Astyanax mexicanus: one gene and its partner. The protein of the gene in region 2 purifies or fractionates together with the protein of the main gene of each other region. This does not show direct contact. Links are inferred from orthologs where the notes say so. Each region holds a gene or a part of one and is shown on either strand. Other genes may lie near its edges.

What was found.
Region 1: the proteins of fam53c (region 2) and plk1 purify together in Homo sapiens (affinity purification with mass spectrometry; 3 studies listed by BioGRID and IntAct, counting the BioPlex papers as one, with this or other methods). This does not show direct contact. The link is inferred for Astyanax mexicanus from reciprocal best matches to the Homo sapiens genes FAM53C and PLK1.

Annotation. Positions count from the first base shown.
Region 1 is NC_064428.1:16,133,291-16,143,660, reverse strand, and holds the start of plk1 (serine/threonine-protein kinase PLK1), read left to right. Parts: upstream 1-5,706; 5' UTR 5,707-6,036; coding exon 6,037-6,399; intron 6,400-7,844; coding exon 7,845-8,013; intron 8,014-8,105; coding exon 8,106-8,250; intron 8,251-8,516; coding exon 8,517-8,610; intron 8,611-9,268; coding exon 9,269-9,491; intron 9,492-10,031; coding exon 10,032-10,092; intron 10,093-10,370. UniProt on the Homo sapiens protein: Serine/threonine-protein kinase that performs several important functions throughout M phase of the cell cycle, including the regulation of centrosome maturation and spindle assembly, the removal of cohesins from chromosome arms, the inactivation of anaphase-promoting complex/cyclosome (APC/C) inhibitors, and the regulation of mitotic exit and cytokinesis.
Region 2 is NC_064424.1:10,761,190-10,771,776, reverse strand, and holds the start of fam53c (protein FAM53C), read right to left. Parts: upstream 4,589-10,587; 5' UTR 4,121-4,588; intron 1,955-4,120; 5' UTR 1,776-1,954; intron 1,665-1,775; 5' UTR 1,606-1,664; coding exon 1,599-1,605; intron 282-1,598; coding exon 1-281. Other genes in the region: slbp2 (stem-loop binding protein 2), read right to left, coding at 6,106-6,276, 6,354-6,495, 7,106-7,273, 7,382-7,528, 7,638-7,724, 7,837-7,911, 8,058-8,192, 8,291-8,337; zmat2 (zinc finger matrin-type protein 2), read left to right, coding at 9,828-9,845, 10,289-10,379.

The DNA of each region.
Region 1 (10,370 bases), on a different chromosome or scaffold from region 2:
CTGTTATATGTTATTTTTCTACCGTGGTATTTCAGAGGCTCTATAGAAAGGGTTGCTTTAGTTTTTATTTTAAGAAGAGAGACTCATAAATACAACCCGTGTGTCATGCTATTACACGGCTTCACACTGACTGACACAGCGAAATATTACTGTTTTATAAATAATTGAAAAGCGTAACCTTCTCACTGAACTTCTGAATTTGTTTATTATACAATAACAGACCGTATTTGATAGCTGTCACTCGTTTTCTAAACAGCGAGTAGCAGATAAACACAATTTATCCGGCGAGTTAGCGTTAGCTTTCCTAACCCAACATAGCTAAAGCTAACTTACCTAACTAACTAGCAAGTTATGTGGTGAATTTATAGAGCCGTTAGCGGTTAGCCCGCACTGAGGTCCTGTGACAGAAGGATAGTTGGGTGTTATAGTGCCGATTAAGCGAATTTTTAACGCATAAAGAGGAATATTTACCTGAGAGAAGTGTAGAAACCCGTAGTTAAACTACAGAACCGAACACTGTTCATACCTGCTGCTGCTCTCTGTCGCCATAACAAATCTCCCGCTACTTCTCTGGGCAGGGAAGAGTAATGGATGTCAGATCGTTTTTTAATTATTATTTATTTCGATATACTTTTAGTTTTAATATAATGAACTCAGTTCTGCTGATCTGTCACTGTGTTTAAATAGGACACTGTTTTTTAAACATTATTTAATCCACTATTTTATTTTCTCGGGTCTCAACTATTGTAGTTTTAAATGCGAGGCATTTCAGCGCAGTCACGTCGAAAAAAACTACAACTCCCATGGTGCCGTCACAATTCTCCGCAGGGAAAATAATAGAGAAAAGAGCAGCAGGATACGGGATACCGTTCACCTTACACTTTAAAGTAGTATTATAGCTACACTATATATTTCCTAATGCTTATGGACACCATATGTGTACAGATGAATAAATGCACAAACTTAGCTTGTTCAGACCCAGCAGAGAAGATCTGCCAACAGAATAGGGACAGAACAGGAGACTCTGTGGAACAAAGGAACAAATATTAACTTGTTGATTACTCATTGGTTTCAGCTGCAGCAACACTGCGTTCTGATCCACTCCTTTACGCACACCCCAAAGAATAACAGAACTTTACCTTTTGGCTATTATATAGTACATTTTCTGCACTTAAGTATTACAAAAGTTTATTGTAAACTGTGTTACTGAAGTACTAAAAGTAAAAATACAGTACTGTGTTATGTAGTTACAGTACGTACTGAAAGCAGTGAAAAGTTCCCAGGGTGAAAGTTCAGAATGGGAGCAGTGTTGTCTTCTTCTAAGATTAGCTTGATCTCTTGGTTCCTTCAGCGATGAGCAGCTTTATCAAACCCGGTGACAATGCAGAGCATCTACCACTGATAATGGCTGATAATGTGTGAAATAATGCATTTTCAAATCGCTGGGCTTGTTTATTTGTAGGACCGCGTCTATGTCTGTGTGCCTATGGGATCCAGTGCCCCCCAGTGGTGTTTAATGACTAGTTAGCTAACCTAGCTAACTAGATAACCTAGCTAACTCTAATGCTAACACTAAACCAGACTTATCAATCTAGCTTACTTTAACTAACGCTAACACTAAACCGGACACTTATCAAACTAGCTAACCTAGCTAAACTAGCTAACATATCCGTGTTACCTGCGTTACCTGCCTCTGAACAAGTTTATCTTCCTAAAGATCTTGGTAACAAGACACATGCCACAAAATATTTTTTTTCACATATTTCGAGTTTTGTTTTTCATGGTAGTGTAGCTGAACTTATCCCATAAATCATGTTTATTCAGAAAGTGGGAGAGGAGGAGCTGCTGTGTGAATCGGCTGTGTGGGGTATAGAGTAAGGGCCTTGGGGGAACCGGTCATAAATTTATAAAACGAACTAAGTTTTTTGAAGTTTATAGAATTAATATCTTACCAGGGATGGTCATGCCAACAGAATCATAACAGTAATTAGGTTGTTTTTCCTCTACCAGCACTGGAATACTATTGCTTTCAACTGAAAAGAAAAAAATCATAAGACTGACACTTAAAACAAATCTTTTTTGAGCGGCTGCCCTGTTGTATAAAGCAAATGTCATCAGTAGTGAAGAAAAGTATTTCATCAGCCCAACTCCAAGTATCTGCCCCAAAGCAGTTGTGACAGGTAGAGTTTGCCAAAAGTGGTTGAAATCTGGTACTAGAAGAGACTTGTGCAACGCTGCTTTAGGATGTGAACAGACATGTTTACAACAAAGCTAGTAATGACTGAACTCTCCATATTGGCCAGACTCAGTGGGTTATGAGGCATAGAGCAAGATCTCACTCACTGCACTGCATAAAAACATAATCTGGGTTAATGGAGTGTATGTTTACCAGCATCAGGAAAATCTGCAAAGACTAAAATCAAGAAGAAAGTTAGTGGTCATTCCTTTTTTTAGGCTACTGTAAACAAAACAGCATTTTAGATGTGCAACACATTCCAGAATTAAAATTGTTACATGCCTTAAAACTTAACTATGCAAAAAAAAAAGGCTTATATTAAGTTAGAAGCCATGGGTGAGTCTAAGCTCTAGGTTCTGAGCACCTAATGAACACAGCCTCACTGCACAGGAGGGGTGCGTGTTTCATATCAAAAGAAATTCCTTTAGATTCAAATCAGACACACAAACTATTATGCACAGAGGACATGTGTTACTTTCATTCTAAAACATGTATTCACCAAATGCACGCACACACACACACACACACACACACACACACACACACCAGGTGGGACATTACCTGAATCTTTTTCTGTTATTCTTTAACATTAATTAGCTGTTACACAAACAGGCAGTACTAGTCTAGCACACTGTCTTTAATATTAACACACAGAGCAACTAATGGCAGCAGAGCAAGTCTCTTGCACACACAACAGTGGACAGTGGCTGATAATCAGTCTATAGCATAAGCTAAATAATAAAAGTCTCAGATATTAACAGCATATAGAGTGCTGCTTAATTTTGTGTGTGTGAGAGAGCAAAATAAAAAGTTACTATTTGCACTGCATGGTATTTTCATTAATAAAATTCTGTTTAATAGTCAACTTTCTAAGATGTTTATATTTTTAGCTCATGAGACATAAACTTTAATCTGAGAAACAACAAAAACAATACTTTTTGCAGTGCTGGGTCAGCTATGCCACCAGTGGCATCAATGTATGTGGACTTGGAAGCATCTGGGGTGGACCACCACACAGTGGTAATGTGTTCTTTTCCAGAAGAAAGAATTCCATACTGGATCTGCAGGTAAGGCAAAATAGGATTTTGACACAACACCAATTATTTTATCTTCTGTATTGTTTAAATGTTGATGTTCTATAGAGACGTCTGTGCATTTTTAAACAAGACAATGAAAAAAAACACTTGCTGCACACATTATTACAAAACATGGTCATGGAAGAAGTGGGTATGGATACTGGACTGGCCTGGGTGCAGGCCTAACCTGTTAACAATAGATAGATCAATTAGAAACAGAAAAATGCAACAATGACTTTCTTGTAATGTTGTCAGGAAGAATGGGACAAAATACCACCTAAAACATTTAATTGCCTGGAATGCAGCACCTATAAGGAATTGCATTAATACAAAGCAGGTGTTACAGGCATGAAATGCAGGAATGGATGCATAGCCTTACCAAACATTAAACATCTTGGGTTCATTCTGTCTGCAATCAAATGAGATGAAAGTGAGAATAGAAGTAAAAAACACTGCATGTTTTGGGGGGGTTATGCATTTTACATACCATCTCAACTTTGTTTTAAATTAAAGGTTGTACATAGTCAGCAGGTAAACCTGTCAGACACCTGGACCCTCGTTACTGAAGTACCACAAGCTTGTGTGCACTCGTGCCTTCTGTTAAATCTGTACACCAATCACTGTGTTTCCAAGGAACCATCCATGACAACCATGATGTTTGTAGATCATGTCACTGTGGTCAACCTCCAAACCAAGAATGAAGAGTCTCCTTACAGAAAGGAAGTCAAGCAGCTGGTGTCTTGGTGCAGTCCAGGCCACCTGTTGCTGACCCCACAAATGACCTGATGTGGTGGTAGACTTCAGACACACTTACCTTCACTCCCCCTCTTCTGTGGATTTACATAAGTGTCTGGGCATCACCCTCTTCAAGGACCTGAAGGGGGATGGAACATGGTCTCCAGAGCGCAGCTTTGTGAGACAGCCTGAGCAAATTCCACTTGCCACAGACCCTAAGGACCCATCCCTACATAGCCATCATCATATTTATTTTCACATCATGTTCATTCATTCATTAAATCCTCTTTACTAGAATGAGACACATTCCAGTGCATTATCAGTATAGCAGAGAGGATGGCTGGGTGTATTCTGCCAAAACTTCAGTATTAAGATATCAGCAAGGTCAAGAAGTGCACTTGCAAGATTATATCTGTCCCCTCTTGTCCTGGTGACCCCCTCCTTCAAACACTTCCCTCTTGTAGAAGATTAAGAGCTATCAAAGCTAGCACAAATGCCGCTAACATGTCATCAACTGTAGAAAAAGACCTGGCAACTCTCTCTTTTTCATGCACAGTTTACAGCTTAAGTTAATGTATTATTTTCTTCTGAATATTTGTTAATAGCATGTGTATCTGTTCGTTCTGGACTGGGTTTTCCTACAGTGTAAGTAAGTAAGTAAGAACACAGATTATTCCTAACTCTCTCTCTCTCTCTCTCTCTCTAAGATTAACCTAATCCTGAGGTTCTGTTTAGACGACAGTATGGCACACATCATCATTCCATGCATGTGATTTCAAGAATATAATAATAATAATTTTATTATTCTAAAAATTTTAAATGGCCATTTATGTACATAAATGTAAAATTATAAATATTACTTTTTTCTTCTTTTTGTTTTGCTATTGATTATGGTCTATTTATCTTTAAGTAAACAAAACTAATCTTTAAAAAATTATCAATAATTAAAAAAAAGTTAAAAGTTATTTTATTGTATCAATAAATATTGTATGGTTTATGTGTTATACTGTGTTCTTATTATGTCTGTTTATTCATTGACAGACAAAAGTTACAACCAAAATATGTTACAAATACAGCACACGTTTTCAAAAAACTATATATATATATACATATACATTTTAATAATAACACATTTTAAATGTGTAATATTTAAATATATATAACTGAACAGACATAAAAGTGAAAATCATAGTTGTCAATTTCATTTCATGGATAAAATATTTTTTTTCCAATTTAAATGAATAGATAAAACAAGTAGCAAGTATCCTTACTGCAGTCATTATAATAAAATAAAATACAAAATGGACAATAAAATTATATATTTTATAGTGTTTAGTTTTGACCCATATCCTAAATGGGATCATTTCTAAAAATATTTGAATGGACACAGTTAAAGAATACTATATGATGTTTAACACATATATACAAAACCTTATTTTAATGAATGTAAACAACTGTTAGCTTTCGAGCCCTGAGGACTTTAATATACGACACATTTTAAAGCAGCACATCTCCCATGATCCTTTGCCGCTATCGCCTGGATTTCAAATCGCGAGAGCCAATCACAGGCGGGTCCGTGGCCACAGCCAATCAGAGGCGGTGCTCCGGCGAGAGCCAATCAGAGGCGGCGATAACGAATAAGGGCCGAATTTAAAAATGTTGTGTTGGTGCTGCGCTGAGAGACGCTGAGCGGGGACGGGGGTTGTAGAGAGAAGAAGCGGACAGGCGGACAATTTAGCGAGTTTCTGTTTAAAATACCCCGCTTACATTAACAGAAACTGGTGTACCCGAGTGGATTTGTGCTGGCTTGTGTGTTAAACCGGTTCAGGCGCGCTTAGTTCGGTTAGTTTTTATTCGAATTGCTCGGCCGGGCGGCTCGCCCTGTCTGTCCGGGTCTGAACTCGCTGTTTTCTGTTAGCAGTGTCGCAGAGATCCGTGTTTTGTTCGTGTTTCTCTTTAAATTAGCGTTATTTTGAGAGCGTATTCAGTATGAGCGCTGCAGTGGCGAAGGCGCCGAAGCCTTCGGTCAACGTAGACCCGAAGTCTGCGCCCCTGAAAGAGATCCCAGACATCCTGGTGGATCCGCGGACCATGAAGCGCTACATGCGGGGCCGGTTCCTCGGGAAAGGCGGCTTCGCTAAGTGCTACGAGATCACAGACATGGAGACGAAGGAGGTGTTCGCCGGTAAAGTGGTGCCCAAGTCTCTGCTGATGAAGCCGCACCAGAAGGAGAAGATGAGCACGGAGATCGCGATCCACAAGAGCCTCGACAACCCGCACGTCGTGGGCTTTCACGGCTTCTTCGAGGACGACGACTTCGTGTTCGTGGTGCTGGAGATCTGCAGGAGGAGGGTGAGTTATCCTCGCTTAGTTTAGCTGAGTGGGAGTAAAATATAAAGTGATTTTTTAAAGCTTTAGAAACACGTAATAACTGAGGCTAGCTTCACTAGCAAACTGGCTAATCTATCAAACCTAGCTTAAGTTAGCTGTCTCTCAGTCCTCACCAACGGTCGAATTCCTCAGTGAGGGTTAGTTAGCATTAGCCGGTTAGCTAACTGTTTGTTAGCTCTGAGAGGTGTGAAACCTCACTACTGTAAAGTTTAAATGTCATGAATATTATAACAGTGAGAAATTGGTGTCTGTAAGTGGGGTTAAAGTGTTTGTGGGTGTTTTTAAGAACCGTTTTGACCGGCTGTATCCGAGCCTCCTTTCCGAGATGTGGATTTTAAATGTGAGGATGTGACGTCAGAACCTCGACCGAGATGTTTGAAAATTTTCGTGAACTTTTTTTTCGCCCGTCAAAATCGTTAAATATAGTAAATAATGCTCAAGTTTCCACTTGAGAAGTATTTATAATACAGCATATTATAAATGCTATATGAAATACTTTTGTCTTGTTGGTGTTTCCTGCTGGTGTTTTCTCCTTTTTATTAGCTAACTTATCTGTTCTTCCTATTTATTATGTTTTTAACTAACCTAGATATATTGAGTTATATATATTTGCTGTTGTGGTGGAGTCGAAGTTGAACTTTAAGTCGCATTGTAATTTAGTAAAATGTAAAAAAAAATCACCATCTTTGTGCAGGGATTGTATGGTCATGAAAAACCTGGAAAAAACTTAAATATCAGTTTCCAGACCTAAATTAGTTTTGGAATACTAAAGAGAATTTTGAAAGTCATGGTCTACAAATCTGTTTCCATTTATGTATGGAGTATCTATTTCGAGCTAAGAAATGCCTCAGCTCAAAGTTTTTTTAAGTAATTTAGCCCTACACAGTAGAGCTTTTTGATTTTTTTTTTTGTTATTATAGTTTTGTAATTGTATTTTCTTTAGATGCATGTAAAAATACATTTAGGCTGTGTAACTCATGCAGTGGTAGGGTATTTTTTAAATAAAGTGTTTAGTTTTTACAGTAATGCATTTATGAACGTTTCCAGTTTTGCTGTAGATGCAGCAACTGGCTGGGGCACAGCCTTGACCTATTAGACACTTTTGACATGTTTAATTTCTTTTTTCTTTTAGAAACATGGAGAGAAATGACATTAGGTTATTTTATTTTTGCAGTTTGAAGGTGTAAAACATAGTTTTGTCAATTTCCATATCCCCTAAAGCTGCAAGTTTGTAACACGACAAGTTTTATTGTCAGGATTATATTTATCTTTAAGTAAGCAAAAACGTTAACACTATCAACAAGCTTTTTGTAATAGCCCTACAGCAGTGTCCCTATGCTGCTTCTTTGCTGATAATTATTTTATTATTTTAATATTTTTTTCCCCTTCCATTGTTCTTCTGTTAGTCTCTTCTGGAGCTGCACAAGCGCAGGAAGGCAGTGACTGAGCCTGAAGCAAGGTACTTCATGCGGCAGACAATCCAGGGAGTTCACTACTTGCACAACAACAGAGTTATTCATCGTGATCTTAAACTTGGAAATCTTTTTCTTAGCGATGATATGGAGGTGAAGATTGGTAAGCAGGCAAATTTGCTCACAACTTTTTGCCTAAAGTACAGTTCGACTTTACTCGTTACTTTATCCTATAACGCTTTGTTCTCTCCCAAGGTGATTTTGGTCTGGCCACTAAGATTGAATTTGATGGTGAGCGGAAGAAGACCCTGTGTGGCACTCCAAACTACATAGCCCCTGAGGTGCTGTGTAAAAAAGGGCACAGTTTTGAAGTTGATGTCTGGTCACTGGGTTGCATTCTGTAAGTCTGCTTCAGAATTTCTTGTGTTTTTACATTTTAAAAATGTTTATTGAACACTTTTTTTTTATATCCCAACATTTGTATGTACAAACAAAGCATATTGTTTCTCAGCATTGCTATTCTCATCATAAACTTGCATCATATCTGCAATTTTTAGGTTGTGCATGACTTCTGGCCACTTCACCATCACCATGACTTCACCATTATAGTGGCGTCTACAAGCAGGCTTTAAATTCACACATTACTAATCATAATGTTTCTGTTAGGTACACACTGCTGGTTGGTAAACCTCCATTTGAGACGTCATGCCTAAAGGAGACATATGTCCGCATCAAAAAGAACGAGTACTCTATCCCCAGGGTTGGTAACACTTCTAGTTCTTCACACTTTGATGCTTAGCTCCAGTTTGTGGCGGCTTCTAAAGGTTGTTTAAGGATTACATACGGTGCAACCCCGTAGTGTGCTGATGGAGAATAACAAAAAAGTTGGTGTCCTTAATGCTCACGTGTTGCTCAAGAACTTTGTTGCCACCTGAGGGGTCACCTGAGGTGATAATTGGCTTGGGTCTTCTGTATGGAAGTGATGTATGATATTTAATTTGCATGAGGGCAATGGGTTCTTTACCTTAAGGTACTGTTAGAAAACCTGTAGTTCCCAAACATTTGTGGATGTCCAAGTGACGTAAATTATGTTTTGGACATTACGAAAAATCAAGTAAACTTACTCCAGCTACAATGCTTGATATCTGAATTTTACAGAAGTCTACAAGGAGAGTGCTACACTAACACTGCTAAACAGCCAGTCTCGCAGAAATAATAAACGCTCCATTGCCCCGAAAAAGACAGTACCTAACAAAACCGCACCAGCCAGGAAAATTAGCTATGAGCTGTCTTGGCGTTAAACTACTTACTGACATCATTTAAAAAAAATATATTTAATTCATTACAATTTTTGATCTGATTGCTTGTTGGCATTACACTGACAATAACTTTCACTTTTTTTTTTCTTTTCTTTGTAGCAAATTAATCCAGTGGCGGCTTCACTGATTCGTCGAATGTTGCACGCAGACCCTACTCTCCGACCCTCAGTAGCAGACCTGCTTACAGACGAGTTTTTCACCTCGGGATACGTTCCCCTCAGGCTTCCTACCTCTTGCCTTACTGTGCCTCCCAGGTTCTCCATCGCCCCATCTAGTTTAGACCCTGGCCTGCTCCGTAGACCTCTCACTGCATTGAATACTGGTATGCTTGTCTTGTTTATTTTAGTGTGAATCGTGTGCCTTTAGGTTAAACAGTGAATGAATTTTTCTTCATTTTAGTTTAGCAGGTTAAAAAAAAATTAAAAACGGGGGTTCCTCACTTAAAAAAAAAAAAATTATAAATAGAATAAAAAAAACTATTGTAATATCAATTCTCAAAGTACATTGAATCATCATTAGTTATTAATCATAAAATGTGGGTGTGAGGGTTTTGCATAAGCAGCCATTGCAGCAAAACTTTTTCTAGTAGTGCCATACTTTTAAAGGTTTGTCCAAATACACGCCCATATTTACCACATTCCTCTTTATTCAAAATGCATTGCACTTCACTTGAAGAAACTGAGCTAATTATGTTGTGTGTTTAAAATGTGCATTAGGTCTGCTCTTTAAGCATTTACACTATGCTTTTCTGGGCATATCAAAACTCTATCTTGTTGCATTTTCAAAAATTACTACCCACACAGATTAGAAATCCAGTTGTATGGCTTCTTTTCTGACACCTTTTCTGCTTTATTATGAACAGATAGCCCAATTGAGAAGATGGGAAAAGGAGACCAGCCACAAAAGGAGGAGCTTCAGCAAAGGTAGGACTCCTACTGTTTCCTATTACAATGATTTTCTTTATTTACCCCACTTGTGTTGTACTTTTACCCCAAACTGTTGAACAATATACCCCTCTTTTGATTTAAACATTTGAATAATTGTCTTTTGGAAATAAATATTTGTAAATTAGTCAAATAAAAAGCAATATGGCAGAACAAGTGAAAAGAACGGATCATTTATATGGAACAGTACAGGTGCTGGTCAACGAATTAGAATAATTTGAAATAGTGCAATCATGAAATTCTTTGAATGCATTTTC
Region 2 (10,587 bases):
GGAGGCACTCGGCCGCCAGGTGTACCGGCAGCGTGAAAGGTCCTCCGGTACAGACAGCGAACGACAGTGGCGTTTGGGGGGTGGCGGGGGGGGAGGGGGTGGCCCGGGAAAAGACAGGTCCGTCACAGAGGTGCTCGGGGCAAGTGGACGATTCAGGGCGTCCCCCTCCGGCAGGTGGGCAGCAGAAGGTCCAAGAGGCACAGGGCCGGGGGGGAAGCTGGAGCTCAGCACGCCCTGCAGGCCAGACTTTGAGGAAGGGCAGAGCTGCCAATAACTGCTCTCTGTGAAACATGAGAATAATAATATTATACACAAACAATCGATTAACAACAAAAATACTTCTGGCAATACAAAATATAGCACTGAAGTTTTTAGAGTGAAGATTTCTACTTCACATGCATTTTATGCACCTTAAATATACACCAACAAGTCATGGTATAGCAGAATGTAAGCCAATCACTGAAGTGTTACCTCAGGGAATGGTTTCGGAACACCCACACCTGTGTAAGTTACCTTTTGCGTGAGGTTGAACACTGGCCAGCATGCTCATGGCAAGCAAGCGAGGCCTAATGTCAGGTGGCAAACAGATGAGACATTGTGTAGAAGCTGTGCGGGCATTTAAAATTCCTCAATCCACAGTGTTACATGTGTACCAGAAACATTTCACAGAAGGCATTACCATCCACAGTGGACAGAACAATAAGTGGTAATGATTGTGACCACTGGTGTTTGGCTAAAATTGTCTGTGTAAACAGGCAAGCGACTCCACAGGCAGAAGCAGAAGACCCCATATGCACATCCCAGAAGTCAGAGCAGAATTCTTTAGATTTAAATCACAGGCACCCTCCTTGTTCAAAGTTTTACAAATTGTAGACTCAAGAACACAGACGTTGGCCTGTACTAACAATGCCTTTAAAAACTGTCTTTCAGTGTTGTTTCTTTACCTCATTGATAAGTATTTTGTGCTCTTGGGGTGATTTTAACTGGGCACTTACGTCTTGGCAAAGTACCCACGGTCCCAAATTGTCTCTATTCGTAGATTATTTGCCTCATTGTAGACTGGTGAATTTCTAAAGATCTTTGAAATCATCTTGTAGCTGTTTTAGATCCTCCAAAGGTCTTTTGGCATATCATGGATTTAAACAGTCAAATAAGCTTAAGTCCACATCCCCAAACTAGCAAGAGTGTATTACTTGATTCTAATTAGCTTTTTTTAGGTAATTAATACAAGAACTTCCATACTTTTCCAACTAGCACTATAAAGTTTTTTTATGGTTATTATTGTATCTTTTTAAGCACATAATATTTGTTAATACTCTTGACTTGGAGGAGGATCTGAAATTCCAAAGGGTTAAAATACATTTTTCCCCTTATATTATACATACATTATACATTATATTTTTTTCTGTCTCTCACAGTTGAAGTGTTCCTATGATAAGAATGACTACTCCATTCTTTGTAGGTTTGGATTTTCCTAAACTGTATGTATGTATAATATGACATTGATTTTACTGGACTACTGAAAGTTTTTTATTAATATTTTGCTACAGTCTTCAAATCTTGCTTCTAGACACATAATTGGATACCTGAATACTTACCAGGCATCAATCCATCTGAACTGTGGGCCAGCAGTTTTCAGAGAGGCTGTGAGGATCATGCAGTGGCTGAAAGAGAGACATTGCAGAGACATGAGTGAACAGGATTGGTTTGAATGAATTCTGTGTACTTTTGGATTAAAGAAATCAAAAAACAGTAAATACTAAACCAAGCTTTACCAGAGCGATGTCCAGTGGCTGAGGTTAACGTCAAGACTAGGGATCGGCTCAACATCTAGCATAACCATGGCTTGGCAGGCGGGAAGGTCTAAAGTGAAGCAGTCAACCAGCCGAGGGAATTACAGGTAGCACAGGCTCCCCAGGCAGAGCAGCTCTGGCCAACATGATGACTTCATTACCTGAGGAGGACACAATAGAAAGAAACGTCTTGGTTAGCGTTTTAAAGGCATTTGGCTTATGCACAATTCTTATCCTTAGGCTTATTTATATCATTAATTTACATAGAACATGAGCAAACCATCAGCCTGCATATCTAGATACAGGACTCCTGCTGCTTATAAGGGACAGTTATAAAACAGTAGTGAAGATAAGTGTATATAAAAAAAAATACAATAATAATATTAAAAATAAATAAATAAAAAGTGACATCAAAAGTAAAATAGCATCCTGCATGACATTTATCTTGTATGGCATGAACACCAGGCTCTCTACAGACATTTAGTTTAAAAAAATCTGGCTTTAAAACATTATTTACTACCCCAGGCTTTAGTAGCTAGCCAGCTACATCTGTTAGCCAGGTTATGTGTTTTTTTTTTTTTTAAGAGTATGGGGCAAACCTGTGTTCTGGTTTTAGTTAGCTAAATGGCAAAAGAGCAGCAGCCAAATTCTTATATATTATATATGCAAATGACTAGACATAGCTAAAAAGCTAAGAATTCCTACTGGAAAATAACATTATGCGTTAGTTAAGCTGCTAAATAGTAGCAGACCACAAATCCAACCAAGTCCCTCTGGCCGTCCAGTGTTTTGTCGATTTGTGCTACCTCGTTAAATATATAAATATAGAAAAAGCTACCTAAATAAAACAGCAGGCAGGATATCTGACTGGCCTACAGCAGTAAAGATAAGGAAAGATAAATATAAACCAAGTGAGGTATTTTGTATTTTTATTTATTTATTTTTACTTGAAATGCCATTTACACTTTCGTAACATTAAAGCAAATAATAACCGTACAACAATAAACTCAGATTATATAATGCGCCCGCGGAAAACACAATCAGTATATATAAAAAAAAACGTTAACATTTAAGTGCCGTTGTTCAGCGCATGCGCAGAGACGCTGCGTAGCACAAATTGACGGGTAACACAAATCGACAGAACACCGGCCGGTGTTCTGTCGATTTGTGCCCCCCCCCCCTCCTTCATATTTTTAATGTTTTCACGTGTTTTTCATGTGAATTCCTTTTTTTCTCGTCGGCATTTAACAATTGCAGCTTACTAATATTATTGGCTCAAGTGTTACAAACGTAGAAATGACGATTAAAAAATACAAAAACACAATTTAACTATCATATCAATTAGCGTAAGCTCCCCTGATATAGCGTTAGGTTAGGTTGGCTAGTGAATTGGGCCACCCAAAAATCCTAATGATAAGATAACGTTATCTAGGAGCATTTTTGATATTCTGATACGATGCTTTCGCCATATAAGCCAGATAATACAAATAACTAACCAGGTTAGCGTTTTTTAGAACTTAAGCTTTAAAATAGCTAGCTAGTTAGATAAAAAATATATAACAACAGTAATTAATTAACTAGCACGTTTTAACGGGATGGCACAAAACGACGGAACACCAAGCTAGTCGCTCGGTCCGTCACAGAGCACACAACTGAAGCTAGCTAAATAGCTAACGCTAGCTACCGTAGATTCTTAATGAGTGTCTGCGTATGAGGATAAATATAGCTAGCGTTAGCTAACGTTAACGATACATAGCTAGCTAGCTTATCAAAATAGACAACACTAATTATCAAGCTAGTTAGGTTAGCTATACTGTGTCTATTTAGTTAGCTAGCTAGCTAGCTACCCTAGGTTTACTGACGATGGATGAACTGGTGTTCCTCAAAATAGCATCATATCAATGGAAGGCTATCCAGCTAGCCGAGAAAGACATCCTAGCCATAACCTAGCCCGTGATGAGCATTATTAGCTAACGTTATGTTGGCTGGGTGCTTGGCTACCTAGAAAGCAGCACAGGCCCACTAACGCCTGCAACCCTAGCTAAATCAGGACATACAGCGACGGCTTGGATAGACTAGCGTAGCTTAGCTTAACCAGTTGAGGCCAATAATGCAAAGCAATACATTTTACAATGCAAAAACACCGTGCACGATAAATAAATATCTAACTTATCTACCACACGATCGATTATCTTAATAGGGCTGATTGAACAGCCTGGCGTGTGTAATTCTGATAATAATTGATTGATATTTTAGCCACACAATAACACACATACATATACATATACAGCTGAAGACATGGAGGACATTTAACGATTCTGACTTACCTCGCCGCCGACGGAGACCAGCACAGCCGTCTCACACACAGGGCCCGTGGAGCCTAGCTGTTAGCTAACTAGCTAACCTAGCAAGTTGCTAGCCAGCTAACGTTGGTCTACCATTGCCTAGCTGCACAAGATCAAACAATTCAGACCAACAACTAGCTACGCTAGCCAGCTAGCTAGCGAACTAGCGGGCTACCCGTCCAGGGTACCCATGGCGTAACGTTAGCTATTGTCAATCCCCGTTCTCTACACCTAACACCAGCATACCGTTAAATCAACGTTGAAGACCCGCCGCACGCCGACGCGAACCACCCCCGCGAGCGGAGTGTGAGGAGCGATCTAACACAACACGAATATCTGCTATAAATTCGACATTTCACCGCCTTCCCATCGTCTCCCACTAGGAAAATAAGAACGCCCGTAGAAATCCAGTGGCTTCCATCTGCAGAGCCTCCAGCCCCCCCGCCCCCGCCGAAACACACCATGCAGACCCCCGTCCACGCCCTCTAGTGTTCCTCTATCAGGTAGCAGCAGCAGCACCACCACCACAGACAGTACACTGATAACAAGCAAGAGAGAGAACATTGATTTAACGTTAAAATATATTTTTTTTCGTTGCATTACATTAGCTTTTTGATGGGAAAAGACAACCTTTAAACAATCTTTTATTTAACACAGCCTAATTTTCATTGGTTAGTGTTTAACCCCTTAACATGCCTACAGGCTTCATTTATAAGTGTAATAAATAAATCTTATTATCTGCAGATTTAAAAATAGATGTACAAACTAGACAACCATAATGAAACTAAAGGTTTGAAGGACAAACTGTTCGATTTGCATTTTTAGTAAAATATTGAATTTAAAATAAAGTTCAGGAAAGAGACAACTTTATGATTTTATTTATTATATTTTGACATTAGCAGATTTACTTAAATATTTTCAATTACAATTATGTTTTTCAATAATGTTCCTTATCAAACATAAACGTTTTTCATGTGACGCTTGAATAGAAATCCTCAATATTTAGTGTTGTAATGTCAGGCAGACAATTGGCAAAAATCCTGGCCTGTGAAGGGGTTAAACTGTAACATTGATGACATTTTTATTGATTTATATTTAAATGTTTGACAGTGGTTGGGGCTTTGAATCTACACTGCAAAAACACAGTCCAGTGGGAAATAAATGCCATTAAGGACAAAAGCTTAGGCCGTGCCACAGGGTCCTATATTAACACACTTTTCTAAAAAAAATAATGGCTATATATGTTATGTTAAAATGTTAATTTTGATACATTTAGGATGCACCAGGGTCCCTGTTTCAGCCGTATATATGCCCATTGAAAATTAATTTTAGTACAATGTAAATAGATTAAAAGGGAAAAAAAGGGCTTGTAGAAAGTGCTAAATAAAGTTAATTTGACTATCGTCTGTCAAACTGAAAACACTGAAGGACACTACTGCTAGTTTTTCACCTTTTAAACTTTTGTGTACCAATGGTTGCTCCCCCACCCCTTGGCCCTCTTGACTTTATGAATTACCAAGGCAAACATTTAACATATCTTTATTGGTTTTGCTTTCCACTACTTTTAAAGTCATACAAAAATACTCAAATTTCAAAACAAGGCTAACAATCTTCCCCCAAACAACCTGACTACAGTGAAACAGGGAGACGAGGAAAACTCACAAAATCAAAACAGCAAAAAAAGTGCCTTTAGGAAAAGAAGTGTCTATACTAGTGAGGGAATATCCAGTGAAGGAACAAAACACGAGCAAGTAGTGAAAAAAAGAAAAGTGCAAATTTTAGTGGTTTCAACAGTTAAGTGATCTGAATTACAGGGGTTTTGATGCAAAACTACCATCAGCGTGCTCAGTGTTCAACATTAAGATCCAAGTACATGTTTGATCATATCTTAGACGCCATTCCTGGGTCATTATTTATTCCTGGAAAACAAGCTTTACACATGGTCTACACAAGACATCATGGTACAATCAGTAAAATCGCCAAAGTGGCTGTTCACTCTCCGGGGCAACTTCGCTGCGTGCATGGTCAGTCTCCAAGAGAAATCGCAGCCATCCAAGGACATTCTCCTCAGCAGTTAGATGACTATTAAAGGAATAGCCCAGTCCAGAAGTCTGGCTTTGCTGGCCTGTTAAATCAGCCTGTAGGTAAATAAGAACATGCATCAGGACACCCTATTCATACAAACACAATAAATCAACTTTTCTGTTCTACTTACTTGAGGAGCAAGAGGCTTCCAGAAGCCATTGCCTAAGCCTTCAGTAGGTTGAGAAAGTACAGAAGCACTTGAGTCAGATACATCCAACGTCCTTTCCTTTTCTTCTCCCAGCTCAGTATTCATTTTCTCAAGCAGGTCCTGCCTAAGAGAATTAGCATGCAACAGGTTAACCTTAAAACTCCTTAAAAAGGTCTTATGCTGTATTCCATTTGAACCAAAGAAGAATTAGCTAGATCCAATTAGGAAATGTTCACAGATCAGATTTATTTATTAGAAGTGTTCAGAGAACCCCACTAACCAAGAATTCATAATCCAAGATGGCTGCAATGCAAGTCAAGAGTAATAAAAGCGTCGTATTAAATAGTTTATCACCAAGTCTATACATTAGCGTCTCATAAAATCAGTTGCTGTACTGTCCGTATTCCATCTATCTACAGACATGATTTCATGGTACTCAAATTAAATACTGCACAATGCCAACCTGGGACAATGTTAATGATAAATCAAACCAGTTGCAGTAAACTCCAAAGGCTATAGCTGACTTTTTTTTTTTTTTTTTTTTAAATAGTGAAACATTATCTAAAATATTTTATGGCATACTGGAATGCTCCAATCTGGTGTCAAGTAATTCTCAATTCAAACAGCTGAGGTAAATGGAACACAGCACAAGTCTTCAAACATAAGACTACATCTGCAGAATGTTTATGATCTAAATTTAACATCACACAATACAATACCAGTCCTACACATACAGTTGATCAACTGGGTCTTGTCCTTCATTGTTCCCTTGGGAAGTCAAAGGTGGGTCCCAAGCATGTAGCGCTCTCCGCCAAAGCCTGACTTGCATGTCCCAAGACCGTCGGCTGTACTTGCGGTATTTGTTTGGAGTGGAAGGGTGAAACCCAGGGATGCGAAGGCGCCTAAAAGTTATAGCACAGAGAAAAAAAAAGCTAGTAATAAGTAAAAAAACAAGCCTAATTATCTTAAGGCTAGTAAAAAGGTATGTAGGTCTGTAGGTCTGTTCTTACTTTGGAACGTGCTTCAGATAGTTCTGGTAGCCACAGGTGTTCTTTCCATACTGAATTTGCTTCTGTCTGCGCTTCAAAACCGACTCGTTGGTCTCAAAATGAGATGGGTCCATATTTTGAGTACACCATCGGAGTCTTGACGGTGACCTAAGAAGGTTTGTTAGCTTTGATAACCACAGAGAAATCCACATCCTAGAACAGGCTTCACAATATTAGTCACCCTAACAAATTGCACATTTCAAAGTCTGCACCTGACCTCTTGATATCATCTAGATCCTCTGTCCCAACAGCCACATTAGCTGTAGATATCTTGAGAATGCACCTCTCAAGAATAGAGGATCTACTTAGAGTTGTAAAGAGGGAAAAAAAAAATAAAAATTAGCACTGAGGCCATGCATAATCAAGACATAATTCACAATATTCTTAATTATAGAGCTGATAAATAAAGTCAAGACCTGCGAGGCTTGGACATGATGGAGGAGGTGGTATTCCTTTCTTCACTTACAGAGGACGGCCTTGGGGTTCTAGAGCTATTCAAATGCACAGCAATACAGAAAAACAAACAGATTTTATAATTAACCACAAAATACAAAGCATTACAATGTCCGTTCAAAACAAAAGTGCTTGGTGCTCATTTGTTCTTTAAAACAAACGGCTTAAATCTTTACCTTCTTACCTGACCAGGCTGTCATACACCGAGCTGCAACCTGGGAGAAGCCATGGCTCTGGACTGCCTGGCTCAAGAGGTGGTCTGACCCTCAAATCATGAGGTAACTCTGGAATGTTTGGCCACAAGGGAAGAGACAGGCCCCTAAAATTAAATTAAACAAAAGGAAACCAGATTAAGATTAAATCCCAAAGTGTTCTACACTCAGCAACAACACACAGAAGTAAGTAAGTCTACTGGACCTTGACTCCAAAGGGCTATGAAGTGCAGTTTCAATCCGTGCTGTCATGCTGACTCTGCCACCTAGTATGCCGCATAGTTTGAAAGACCTTTAAATCAGCATCAGGTGGATAAGGGGCGGGGCTACACAATTAACCCACGTGTTACGTAGCCGGTCAAATTGACCCCTTTTAAAGTAAAGTTAAAAAAAAAAAAAAATACAGGCACAAGCACGGTGTTTGGATCATATACAATATTGACTAGAGCCCACAAAAGGAAAAATAAATTAAAGTAAACACTTTTTTTTTTCATCAAAATAGAGGCACAATATAGTTGTACTAAAAAAGTTAATTATAATAAATTAACCATATTTTACTTGAAAACCAAAATTCCAAATTTGATTACACTAAATATTGTTCACATTAAATAGGTAATATGTTAAAAGCCAATGTTTCTTGGAAAAACGCACTGGCTCAATCTGGGTTAATATTACTAACATAACAGTATTAAAGACAGCATAGCCAGCAGAAGCTCTGAAAATTAATATCTGTTAATGTTTAACTTAATATACACATGAAGGATTATACATATTATACATATCATCAAGTAGTCGTCTGTACTAATTGTAATAATTGATCACAAACAAATGTTGTTGTATTCACGTTTTGTTTTTCTAAACAATATTTTATCCAATTATGTATTCCACTTACATTGTTTTATCATGCTATTGTGAAGTCAAAAGAAACTGCTCCTTTAAGTAGCAGTGTTTAGTAGTATCTTGTATTCCCATTATAATAACCTGAACTGAATTTGTATTGGTGCATTTTTTTGTAAGGATGTTGTTTATTTTAAATAGATAAACGGTGCACAAAATAGTAACACATATCCATAACTTAAATGGAAATCGTATTTGATAATTACTGACATATTTAAAGAATATAATTTTTTGAAATGACAATATTGAAAATAGGCATGTTTATTTGTATGTTTGTTCACATATATAGCATTGAACTGTATTTAAGGCTCCATACACACAGTGTGGACTGCAGTAGGTGAAGAAAAAAATAATTTATTTCCCAAACTATTATTAATTGCAATCATAGTCTTACAAGGCTATAAAAGTGTTGCTTTTATCCTTTATCACAATCATTTCTTGGATGGTATATTGTCCACAAAAAATGTCAATGCCTATGAAAAAAACTAACATTTTTTTTACATTTTATTTTATGTTGTATATATTGTGTTCTTTTTGCATACTAATTGGAAACATGCAGCCACGTTTTTCATTCTCCTGTACATCTGTACTTATTTGATTTGTATGTTCTTTCTGAATGGGTGGGTGTTTGCCTGTTACTTGTTTATAGTATTCTTATTTATTTTATTGTATTTATTTATTTTACCTTTTTCAGCAAACCGTGTGTGAGAAGTTGTGTAGATTGAAATAAATGAGACAAATTAACACAGAACTCACCTTCACTTTAATCACACAGTTCCCACAGAGCTTTTATTTTGCCTTGTTGTTTTTCTCCAGACAGGAAGAAGATCTCGTTGGTCAGCAACATGGCGTCAGGCAGTGGGGTGAGTTATATTGTTTTTTTTTTTTTATTAGTTATATTAATGTCTGCAAGGTTATATCTGTTTTAATGTATTCAGTAAATGCTGTAATTGATAGACTGTAACATAGCCGGCTGAATAAACTATAAACTACAACGTTACCGTGCTAAAACACGCTCCTGTGGCCATTAGCTTAGGTAGCTAGCTAGCTAAGCTAACTAAACATTTGTCAGTGTTCAGTGAAAATTTAATGATTTATCCAACAACAGTTATAGATCTGTAATGCTGTTAAAGGAGCTGCTGACAATAACTGAATATCTAAACCATATATGTTGTAGGCGTTATATAGCTGGCATGTTAGACAACAGGTTATTGTCACGGTGTTTTATTGTTTATGGATACCCAGCTAGCCGTGGCTACCCTAACTAATTAGCGAATAATCTCCAAATCTCTTTTTTTTTTTGTAGTCTAAGAACGATTTTAGGCGCAAGTGGGACAAAGATGAGTATGAACAGCTGGCACAGAAGCGTCTCACGGAGGAAAGAGAGAAAAAAGATGGTGAGTACATTCATATAGTTTATATAGTGCACTACTGTACTGTACTATATTCACACTTTCACTGCCTATTGTTTGGAAATCCTGATATGACATGGTATATATATATATATATATATATATATATATATATATATATATATATATATATATATATATATACCATATTTTCTTTACATAAAAAATGGTGAGCACTAGGAAGTATGTTCAC